Xenopus tropicalis: one gene and its partners. The protein of the gene in region 3 interacts with the protein of the main gene of each other region in a pairwise test. Links are inferred from orthologs where the notes say so. Each region holds a gene or a part of one and is shown on either strand. Other genes may lie near its edges.

Region 1 (3,651 bases), on a different chromosome or scaffold from region 3:
CCTAGAGGATATATTAGAGCTTAGTTTTTGAAGATAACCAGAAATCCTGTCTCTCTGCATGCAGGATTTTTTTTTGCTGAAGTCTTTGTTTGCACTGGAATCAGTTATCTAAATGAGCTTTAATACATCTGGTAGGAAAGGGACTCCACCTAGAAAGAGCAAGCAGATTTTTTTTTTCTATATTTAATTTTGAAATCTGACATGGGGCTAGACATATTTCTTAGTTTCCCAGGTGGTCCTCAGTCATATGACTGCTCTCATAAACTTCAGTCTCTTTTTACTGCTGCACTGCAAATTGGAGTGCTATCACCCTCCTTCCATTTTCCTCCATGAGCAGAACAATGGGAAGGTAGAAAGACTCATGACTACTTCAGTAGGAGAAACAATAGCTGATCTAAGAGCAGTTCTATTGTGTAGTGCTGGCTCCTTTTGAAAACCAAAACCAGGCGAAATGCACTGAGATGGAAACCTTCACAACAATATTATAACAGTAATAAAAATGTTACCATAAAACTCCTGACAGAATCCCTTTAAAGATTATCCATTCACAACCTGCAATTTTTACTTACCTCACTGCTCTGGTTCATCTCAGGCCATGTCTGGTTCAAGGATGGCATTGAAGGCGATTTGCTAGGAGGAGCTTCTGCTGGTGAACTTGTAAACCCTACATCAGTAGTTTGATCCCCAGCTTAGATTGAGAAGTGGAAAAAAGGATGAAAAACTTAATAACTTAGTAATGGTAACTGGCATAAGATGTTTAACTTAATTTAGCTGCAGCAGTGTTGTAAGGTAAACAATTGAAAAATATATATAAATAAGCTTATATATATTAGAAATTCACTGAATGCTGGATTTGGGTGAATTTAAGCCTTTTTCAACAGGACTCAGCTAAACCGAACCTGAACCCTTTAAATCACATTATTTAACATGCTCTGAGCAAAAGGTTTTTTATCCCTTCCAATATACCTTACCTTTGTGTAAGATTTAAATGATATCACTACTGAGATTTACTGCTCCCTGCATTGTTCACGTATCAGATTTAGGCTGTAAACCCCTGAATTTTTTAAACATGTAACTCCCTGTACTGTTCAGACCTTTTATTTCCTGCATTGTTCACCCCCTGTATGGAAACACATGCAACAAAAGTCAGGCAGAGTATGACACACAGGCAGCAAAGGGCAGGCAGAGTATGGCACACACAGGTTGGTAGGGTAAGTATGTCCCATACTCTGTCTGCCATATGCTGGCTGTGTGTGCCATACTCTACCTGCCCTACCCTGCCTGTGTGTGCCATACTCTGCCTGCCCCACCCTGCCTGTGTGCCATACTCTCTCTGCCCTATGCTGTGTATGGCACACGATATGGCACCCGATATCATCATCCATAGAAATAGCTTGAAAAGACTCGAAGAAAACCACACAATGCGGAAATACGCTAGAAAACGCCTTAGCATGGATTTTTCAAGCGTAGGCCGAAATACGCCAGTATTTGCAAAGCAAGCTATTCCTATGAATACGCAAAGGCAGCTGCCAGACCTAGCGGAAATATGCAGCGTTTTTTGCTATTTCGCACTATTAGCACCATGGAAACGGGATTTGCTTACGTCACCAGTACTAGGCTGAAAAACCCCATAGTCAGGGGCTGTGTGGGTTGTGCGGCGTTTTTAGGGTGAGAAAAAACGCAGCGGAAAAACGCCACGTGTGGCATCAGCCTAACTGAATAATATCCCGTTACAGCATGAGAGACCAAAAATGCACAGCATATTCTAGATGGGGCCTTACTGTCTTTATCATAGTATCAAATGCTCTGGCAAAATCCAAATAGATTACATCTACTGCAACCCCACTGCCCAGCTTCTTACTAACCTCATCATAAAAAGCATCAGACCATCAAATTGGTCTGATATGACCTGCCCTTCATAATGCCACACTGATTACTGCGCATAATGCCATTTATCAGTTTTCCTCCAATCCACAGGACCATATCAGATGAAAGTCTGAAAATATCAGAAACAGAGGCCATGCTAAAACTGAACCTAGCTTTCTCAGTACCCGAGAGTCTTTTCCATTTGGTCCTGGTGCTCATATCCCAGATGTCTAATTCTGGACATGAAGACTATTGATCAGAGACTCTCTATAACTGTTGGAATAGATTCCATCTTGAGTCGTTCGTATCTTACAAACTTTTTCAGTGGGTGAAGGCTGAGCACAGGACAGAACCTGCCATCTTCTTTTGGTACTATAAACAGGTTTGAGTAAAATCCAAAGTGGGCACCTGAGATTTTACTTTTTTAGTAGATCATGGGTGATGAAGAATATGCCTTTCTGCTTGGCAGGGTACAAAGCTATGGAAGATGGCACAAATCTGTCTTCCGGAGGCTTTTTGGTGAAGGGAATACCATAGGTGGATTTTTTTTTTTTTTTTTTAAAGTCCTGACATTTGACTGAAGTAGGTTTGTGGGGTAGGTTTAGATTAGCTCTGTCAAGTGGACTTGAATCTCCTATTGGAATGTGTCTGAGGCTGGGATCTAGAGTTTCTCTGCTGTCTGCTATTTGCAGTGCGTGGTGGTAATTCTATCCTTATTAGGTTGTTTTCCTCTGTGGCAAAAAAGGCATCTTTGCTGCTACCAACTTAATAACTTATTTGTTTTAGTTCTGGGCTAAAGAGTTATGACCCTTTAAGTGAAGTAAGTTCTTACTTTGATGCTGTCTCACATGACCACTGGCATAAACAAAGTGCTCTGCATGATGTGATGGACGCTGCTGAATCTATGACTGAATGTTTAGAAACATCAACAGCTGCTTTTGCTAAGGACAGGGCTGATATAATCTTTTCTAACACAGATGTAAATTGTTCAGGTGATGTGTAAGGGTGTGTCAAAAACTCTTGACACCAGTATTTATCCATTTTTACTACTGCAGCAGATGCAATTTCTGGCCTCAGAATGGCTGCTGTGTTTTGAAAGTCTCACTTAAGAGCAGAATATATTTTTTTTATCCATTGGTTCTTGGATCTACCTTTGGAATTTTATGCCAATGTTTGTAATCGTGGAATGTTGGGTATATATTGAAAAATTTGTGAAGAATGCTGGATTTTTTTGTGGTTACTGCCATTCCACATTCAACAATATTGGCAACTGAGTTTTTTTGGAAGAGTTGTCTAACCCTTTATCAGCTTTAGACATGGTTATTTGTTCTTCCTCAAAGGTGGAAAAATATCTCTTAAGATACTTTTTTATTTTCTCAGGTTGTCTGGAAGGTTCTTCTAAACCACAAGGCTGTGAGTCGAAGGAAATGTTCTCTGAATCTATAGAGCTGAACTCATCTAATAAATTGCAAGAGAAATACAAGTGAAGGTGAAGGTGAATGTTCATGCTTCTTCTTGCTATGTCTGAAAGAAATAATCCACTTGTTTTACAGATGTATAAGTTGTAAATTGAATCCATGACATGAACTTTGAGAGGTCAGGAGATGCTGTTTACGAGCTTGCTATTCGAAGCTCCTTGCCTACCTTTTCCAAGTTTTACATGCTAGATGTTCTGGCCTCTTCAATAGCAGCCTTTGGCGGGAACGTGCTACAAGCTGTATCAGCACCTAGTTAGCTTCTGCCTTTTCTTAGAGTTCTGTTAGTTCATAGTTTTGTCCTTTCCTA
Region 2 (3,651 bases), on a different chromosome or scaffold from region 3:
TTTTTTTTTAAATAAGATTTTATTTTGAACAAACATTACTAATAATTATCAGCTGACATTTTAGCTTGGTCTCAGTAGCTTTCGTGCTGCAGCTCTAGCTGCTGGTAGCTCAGATTACAGCACAGTTTGAAGGGTGAGAGAGAAGTGTGCAGACTTCGGCCCCAGGAATGAAGGATTTTTCTAAGAGAGGAAGTCAGATACCCTAAGAACAGGTTTACAAAAAAGGAGACAAGAAATCCTGTTTTTTTTTTAAAAGAGGACTCAGTGCAGCGTTTCTGCGAGCTTTCTGATAAAGCTTACTTTACCTTTCATTCTCCTTTAAGGGACTCTGCAAGTCTTGGCAGGAAATTTTAGGGACTTGCATCTAGGTCTCTTCCTGTTGGGAGAGGATCTCACCAGTATGCTGATGTGGTCCTCACCCAAGGGGATTTTCTCACCTGTCTGATAAGAGATCTGCCCAATATTTGGCCAATATGCTGCTCATGCAAATGCACGATTTTTTTTTTTTTTTTTTTTTAGCAAAGTGTCTAACCAAGCTTTTATGATAACAGGGATGATTGCTGTGCAAGTTCTGAGCTACCTCAACAGATCCAGCATCATGTCATTAACCTCACAAACCTTTTACAAACTCACTACAAAGGGCCCATCTCCCAGAGAGCCCTGTGGGTCCCATGGATTCTGGTTATCAGAATCCTCTTTTGCCAAGCACAGACGAGCATATTCCCCCTGCAAGGGCTCTAGCCTTTTTTAAATTAACCATTTAAACTGAGGAAAGGGATTCATCATAATGCAGATGATGTGCTTAAAGTTCAATATTGAAGCTCTGAAACAACTTACAAACTCATCTGCCCAAACTCATCCTCCAGTGTGAGCAAAACCTCTGAAAGGTCTTGGTAAGAGCGAGAAGATAAAACTGGGTCTGGTGTCCACCTTACTGCACTCTCTTTCCTTTCAACAGGCTGATCGCTCACAACTCGGTCATTGCACAAGAGTTTATTATGTTGCTTCATCAGGTGCAAGACATGCTGGACATTGGCTCTCACGGAATAGCTAGTGCCTGTGGACTAGAACCAAAAATATCAAAATAAACACATGTGCAAAAAGACAATAGACACATTCTATATGCTTATAGAGAGCTCTATAATCTAGTGCGGCACTGTCCAACTGCCAGCATCTGGCCCACAGAATGTAGGAGCAGTGCTAGCATTGTGTCACTGTACAGTACAAACTGTTTATTTGTTGAAGTGGTCATGACCAGTTGCAGGTTTCCCTGTCGCATCACCTACTCTTCCTGCCCTGCTCTATCCTGCCTCTGTGTGCCATACTCTGCCTGCCCTAAGCTGCCTGTGTGTGTGATACTCTGCCTGCCCTATGCTGCCTGTGTGTGCCATACTCTGCCTGCCCTACCCTGCCTGTGTGTGCCATACACTGCCTGCCCTACCCTGCCTGTGTGTGCCATACCCTCCCTGCTCTATCCTGCCTGTGTGTGCCATACTCTGCCAGCCCTACCCTGCCTGTGTGCCATACCCTCCCTGCTCTATCCTGCCTGTGTGTGCCATATTCTGCCTGCCCTACCCTGCCTGTGTGTGCCATATTCTGCCTGCCCTACCCTGCCTGTGTGTGCCATACTCTGCCTGCCCTACCCTGCCTGTGTGTGCCATACCCTGCCTGCCCTATGCTGCTCGTCAGAGATGAATCTGGCAGGGCTTTGTTCTGGGAGTTTATTAGCATCTGGAAATAGTTGTCATGGGATCCCTAGGTGTGTAATTATGTGCCTTTCTGTGGTACCCACAGGGGAGGAGTGGCTAAGAGTGTGGCTTAATATGACATATTAATCTTCTTTCACGTATGAGTGATAAGTGATATCCCTGCAGTAAGTACAAACTATTTGTGTTTTAGCTGCGCAACCACCATTATTGTGGGTATGGTTTTAAAAGCTCTTGTGATAACATGGGTGTGGTTTGAAGTGGGTGCAGTGTAAAAAAAGGGGGTAGTCAAAACTGGCTTCCATTATCGGCCCTCCACCACATTGGCCAGAAAACGTCCAACCCTCAGTACCACATTTATTGCCACTCAGTGTGTCCAGTTTCAGCCTTGCTGAGTAACCATTGTCAAATGTACAGCTCTCTTAAAAGGTAGCTTGGGTTACGTAAGCACATGTAAAAGGGCATCAAATAGGAAATGGATTCCCTAAAAGAAAATTTATCGAAAAAATTAAGACTAAGGTTTTAATACCTACCTTTCCAGCAACAAAGGGCACATCTCCTAAGCTCAGGCGATAGTGGGGCTGTAAGTGTGAAACACTGGAAAAGGTGGGTTTCTGGAATAGAAGAAAGAACACAGCATATAAATAAAGAGCAAAGAGGGTGCACTAGAACCAAACTCTAGGTAGGCCCACAAAGAATACTAGCAGCACGGAAGGACCAAATACCTTTTCCAGCTGCAGTGACTTTATGTTTTTTGCCTTCACTTGTTTTGATGGAGGTGTTAAGGAACGGAGCAAAATTCTGTTGGTTTCCAACCCTGTTTGGAGCTGGAGGAAAGAAAATATTTTAGATAAAAATGTATTTATTTATACAAAAACGGAAATAAACTAAATTAGGCACCTCCCTGTAGAATGTGCTGAGAGTAACTTATGACAAAACTGGTCCGGTTATGCCAAGTTCCATTGCAAATGGCATGGTATGTATTAATCATCTAATCATTTGTATTTCATATTACCAACTTATTAATGCACTGTTAGGCAACTAAATATTTATTATTTATTAGTATTGTTTTGAAACAAGTTCCATTCACTGTTTTGATAAGCTTTCTTATTGCAATCACATTAATGTTGTTAAGGCAATAGCATAAAAAACCTGATTTTGGTACCAAATCCCCCCACTGCCTGCTGTGCTTGTCCACCTATAATCAGGTAACTGACGATTGGAAGTATGGCAGTCACTTGCACTACACATATATAGCTATTGCAGGCAAAAGAGCAGAGTGATTTTACATCATTTGGCTTACCCTTGAGCTACTTAAATTTACACATTCCATATACAGTTGCCTTTATACTATAACAACAACATACAGTAATGAGATCACCAAGTTTCAGACAGGATCGCAAGCTGAAGAGCAAACAGTATTATTACCTGGGCTGCTTTTTCCTGCACAAGTTTGCGCTGATGCTCCTCCTCTCTCAGTTTCTGTTCGATTTCACTGATTTTTTTCTAAAAAAGCAAAATGGTGTCATGTGACTTTAAGGAATACGGTCATAGGAAAACATGTATTTTAAAAAAACCTATCAGTTATTAGAGCTTCTCCAGCAGAATCCTGCGTTGTAATCTGTTTTTCCCATGGGGCTAGCCATATTCTTCATTTCCCAGAGTGCCACAGCCCTGTGACCTGTGCTCTGATAAACTTCAGTCACACTTTACTGCTGCGCTGCAAGTTGGAGTGATATTCCCCCCCCCACCCCCCCAGCAGCCGATCAGCAGAACAATGGGAAGGGAGCAAGATAGCAGCTCCCAGTAGGTATCATAGGAGTAGGAGAAACAATAGGTTAGCTCAGGGGTAGGGAACCTATGGCTCGGGAGCCAGATGTGGCTCTTTTGATGGCTGCATCTGGCTCTCTGCCAAATCTTTAATAAAAAAAAATTATGGGGGGCG
Region 3 (4,398 bases):
TTAACATGCAGCACTTTAAGCATGTTTACCACATAAGATTCTCTCAGGTCTAGGTGGACACTGCAGACTATTTTTGGACCCTGCTTTAATAGCCTTTGAACTTCTTTAGAATGTTGCGGAAAAGCGGGGAAAAAAATTGTTGCAAGATGATGCACAATACAAGTTGTCTTTTTTTAACTTTCTGAGGGACATAAGAAAACATATCTAGGGAGAAATAATTCTGTTCTCTGATGAAGAAAACATTTTCTAGAGTGCCGGAAAAACTCTACAGTTAATGGCAGAAGCCATGATTAGCAACTAAGATTGCAGAAAGTTATTTTCACAACCAACAGCGAGAAACTCACTGTGCTTCCCAGTATGGAGTTGCCTCCCCTCATGTTTTCTGTGGTCCCACCAATAAATAATACATTTCCCGGATTTTACATCATTTTTTTCTGGTCCCTTAAAAAAAAAGTAAAATGGGGGTTCTACTATAAGTGCAATGAGGCAAAACAAGTGCACTGGAGGCAAAACAATCCTATTGGGTTTATACAATATTTAAATGTTTTTTAGCAGACTTAAGTTATGGAGATCTAAATTACGGAAAAATCCCTTATGCGGAAAACCCAGGTCCCAAGCATTCTGGATAACCGGTCCCATACCTGTATAGCACAAGCCCTATTCACTAAAATTCATATTTAATAAAGGGGCATACTGCCCAATAAAAATTGTTGCTTGAACAAGAAAACCTTGCACAGATCTTTTTATATACAGAGAAAAACACACTGGAAAAGTGGGTACACTATACAGAAAATCTGTTTACACAGAAGACATATCCAATTGTAATTCTATCAACAGGCCCAATGGAACTACATCTCTCCCCGAGAGGGACAGCGGCTGACACGGGGAGAAATGGTATATTATTTTATTAGCCGATATATAAAATAGAGCTTATTCTCTTCCTGGCATAGTTTGCATGCCAATGCAAAACAAACTAATTGCACCAGAAAGACACACCCTAAAGAATCATATTTAGTTATAATGCCTATATGCAACCTCAGACCTGTGGGCGGTGAACATAAAGGGAAGATTGTGAGGACATAATAAAAACATTTTCATTATAGTTTTTTTAAAGGGTAACTCTACCCCAACACATATTATTACAATTATGTAATAATATGGTTTAGAACAGCTACCTATGCCAATCCCCCTGTTCTCCTGCTGATCTTGCTACTTTGAGACTCAAATAAAATTTAACAGTAGGAGACTGTCCTCATCTTGCCTTCAGCCTGCATCCTCCAAATCCCACAATCCCCTGCACATGTGATGGTAATTAGGAATGGAACATCACAGTGCAGTGCATTGTGGGATATGTAGTTCCTGCTTGCGGTCTGTAAACTGTGGGGATATTGTTACATTTGCAATTACAATGTTTTAGTCCAGGGGTGGGCAAACTATGGCCCGCGGGCCACATCCGGCCCATCAGCCCTTTTAATCCGGCCCGCCGTCTCCGGCCCCCTTAAAAGAATGACGGGCTCTGATTGGTTGCGCCCCGTGCGTGCGCACAGCGTCAGCACGCACGGGGCGCAACCATATAAAAGAATGCACTGGGGAGCCGGGGAACAGAAGGATGGGATGGAGGAAGCAGCGGGTCGCTGGGGGGGAGCTGAGAGGCCCCATAATTTTTTATGGCAGCCCCGGGCGTAACGCTGTCCCGGCCTGGTCCGGCCCGTATGTTAATTAATGTGGCCCCTGAGCTAAAAAGTTTGCCCACCCCTGTTTTAGTCCCTTCTCCTCTGGCAGGATTTCAAATGATGCAGAAACTGTTTTGCAGCTAGATTCCAGTAGATAAAAAAAAGACAATTATTCATACTTTTGGAATGAATAGATTAATAGATTAATAGACAGGTATATTGGGAGGTTTCTATGTAAGGCTCTTTTACAAATTTTGGTTTGAAATCTACAGTTCCCCTTTAAGTCACAACACTGTCTAAATCCTCAATCTTCAAATCTTGACAAGAAGCAGATTTACCTTAATGGCAAAAACTAGGGATGAACCAAATCCATAATGTAGAGATAACCCAAATACTGAAACTGAATTGGATCACTGTATTAAAAATGAGAAAAAAAACTGAATAAAACCACAGTATCAACTTTAAACTAAACTAGGATTTGGGACAAATCCACAACCTCTCCTGCCAACCGAAAAATCTGAATTGCAGCAAATCAGCACACAGAGTAGCACCGCCTGCACCATAATAATAATAACAGCTGATTTTCTGGTGACCGACACCTCTAACTGAGCAGCACCTCCATCACCCAGATTTACAGATTCATTGGCAGACAGTGAGCAGGAATAGTGCCTGAAACTAAAGGCGATGCCCTGAGCCATATCACATACATTCAGGAACGGCAAAATGCTAACAACGACACCGACTTTGTCGTACTGCTGCACACTGGGATCTGCGATTTACTGCAAAGTCTTCCAGCAGTGGCTCCATAGGACAGTGATATACGAGAATCAATTCACACTCATTACATTTTTCGCCTGTGTGGCTATAGAGAGAACACACATTTCCACACAATAAATATTCCGCTATAAAACATACGCACGCACATGACTATTTCGGTACAGACGAAACAAATCTCCGCTCACCTGTGTCCACCCCCTCTGTCACTATGCGCCTCGCTTCCTCTTCCTCCTCAGCTCAGTGCGGGGCAGGAAACAGCACAATGACTCCGAAACCTGAGAGGCGCGTCAGAACGACGTGAACCAGGCGGCCATGTTGGGACTGGCAAAAGCGTAAAAGGAAAGGGCGCTGCTGTCACGCACCGAAGGGGCGTACTGAAAGTACATGATGTCCCTGCGGGGTTCTTTTTATATATCTGTGCCAGAGTTTAAAATGGGGAGGTATAAAAGGAGCTGGAAAGCAGAGATACTGCTTTATAGTAGTCACACAATTTATTCAGCAGACAGCATTGCCATAAAGGGGGCAGTAAACATCCATTTATATTACAGTGGATTAGGATTGGTGCTGAACAAAGTTTCTTCTGAAAATGAGCAGTGTATTAATGTGACCTCTGAATAATGAGCGGATTATTATATGAAAGCCTAACAGGCTGCAGCCAGGGGAAGGGTTTGTTTATACAGAGGACAGGTACTGAGTGGACGTGGGTGATTTGTTTTGATTGGACTCTAGGAAGTAGAATGTGACTACAATCAATTTCAAACTTTCCCCTGTATAATCCAAGAAATGACAAAAACATACAATATGCAAAGAAATGTTCTGCACCAGCCCTATTAATTAAATAAATAGGATGAAAAAGTAGACAGTATACTCATCCTTTAAAGCAGGGGTGGGCAAACTACGGCCCGCGGGCCACATCCGGCCCGTTTGCCTTTTTAATCCGGCCCGCAGACTCCGGGTCCCTTTAAATAATTTATGGGCCCTGATTGGTTGAGCTTTAGGCGTGCTTGTGCGCAGGGGGCGCAACCATAAAAAAGGATGCAGCTGGGAGCCGGGGAACAGACGCAGCGGAACGATGGAGGGAGCTGCAGGTCGGAGAGATGGAGGATGCTGGTGGGGGGGGGGGAGCTGGGGGGAGGACGTTGGTCCGGCCTGGCCCGCCTGTGAGTAAATGTGGCCCCCGAGTCAAAAACTTTGCCCACCCCTGCTTTAAAGGCAGTGGTATAATTCAAGTTTTACTTTTTTTTAATAGCTGCACAGTATATGCAAGGATCTGGAGATAAGAAAAGCTGACTGCCTAGACCCACAGGTAGCATTAGATTGAATGAGTAGGGATTCTGGGTCTTTTGCCCATCTATTAAAGAGCTACAAGTGCACCCATGTCCCTTTGCCTCAAGACTAAGGGGGAGATTTACTAATCCACGAACGGTCCAAATGCGTTTTTTCGTAATGATCGGTATTTTTTGCGACTTTTTCATCGCCGTTGCGACTTTTTGGTATAGGTCCCGAAATTTTTTCGTATATTTTCCGCTACTTTTTCGTCACCATTGCGAAAAAATCGGATTGGTTTTTCCGCCGTATACTATCGCTCAATATGAAAAAATTGTGACGGCGACAAAAAAGACGCACAACATACAATAAAGTCGCGGCAAATACAAAAAATCACGACGGCAACGAAAAAGTCGCTAAATTTTTGTTTCCAATGAGATTTTTTCCCTTTCGGGATTCGGATTCGTGGATTAGTAAATCTGCCCCTAAGAATGAGAATTTGCAACCTTCATGTAAGGATATTATAGGCAGAGATTATTCAAATTACTCCTTTATGTCCTTGTGGCAAACTGTGCATCCACTGGTTTAAATATCAGATACAAAGCCATAAACCCAAACTTGAAAACAGCCTTTCAGTTTGTGTTAGAGCCCATTAATGATGAAGAAATTAGAGAGTAACCTA

What was found. The genes of interacting proteins can lie anywhere in the genome.
Region 1: the proteins of ralbp1 (region 3) and reps1 interact in binary tests that used the Homo sapiens proteins (3 or more experiments, as listed by UniProt). The link is inferred for Xenopus tropicalis from reciprocal best matches to the Homo sapiens genes RALBP1 and REPS1.
Region 2: the proteins of ralbp1 (region 3) and cep57 interact in binary tests that used the Homo sapiens proteins (3 or more experiments, as listed by UniProt). The two-hybrid records come from large-scale screens. The link is inferred for Xenopus tropicalis from reciprocal best matches to the Homo sapiens genes RALBP1 and CEP57.

What each region holds. Positions count from the first base shown.
Region 1 is NC_030681.2:62,705,397-62,709,047, forward strand, and holds part of reps1 (ralBP1-associated Eps domain-containing protein 1), read right to left. Parts: intron 689-3,651; coding exon 570-688; intron 1-569. UniProt on the Homo sapiens protein: May coordinate the cellular actions of activated EGF receptors and Ral-GTPases.
Region 2 is NC_030678.2:164,700,232-164,703,882, reverse strand, and holds part of cep57 (centrosomal protein of 57 kDa), read right to left. Parts: intron 3,213-3,651; coding exon 3,135-3,212; intron 2,534-3,134; coding exon 2,432-2,533; intron 2,321-2,431; coding exon 2,240-2,320; intron 1,065-2,239; coding exon 838-1,064; intron 1-837. UniProt on the Homo sapiens protein: Centrosomal protein which may be required for microtubule attachment to centrosomes. May act by forming ring-like structures around microtubules. Mediates nuclear translocation and mitogenic activity of the internalized growth factor FGF2, but that of FGF1.
Region 3 is NC_030682.2:104,585,245-104,589,642, reverse strand, and holds the start of ralbp1 (ralA-binding protein 1), read right to left. Parts: upstream 2,830-4,398; 5' UTR 2,597-2,829; intron 1-2,596. UniProt on the Homo sapiens protein: Multifunctional protein that functions as a downstream effector of RALA and RALB. As a GTPase-activating protein/GAP can inactivate CDC42 and RAC1 by stimulating their GTPase activity.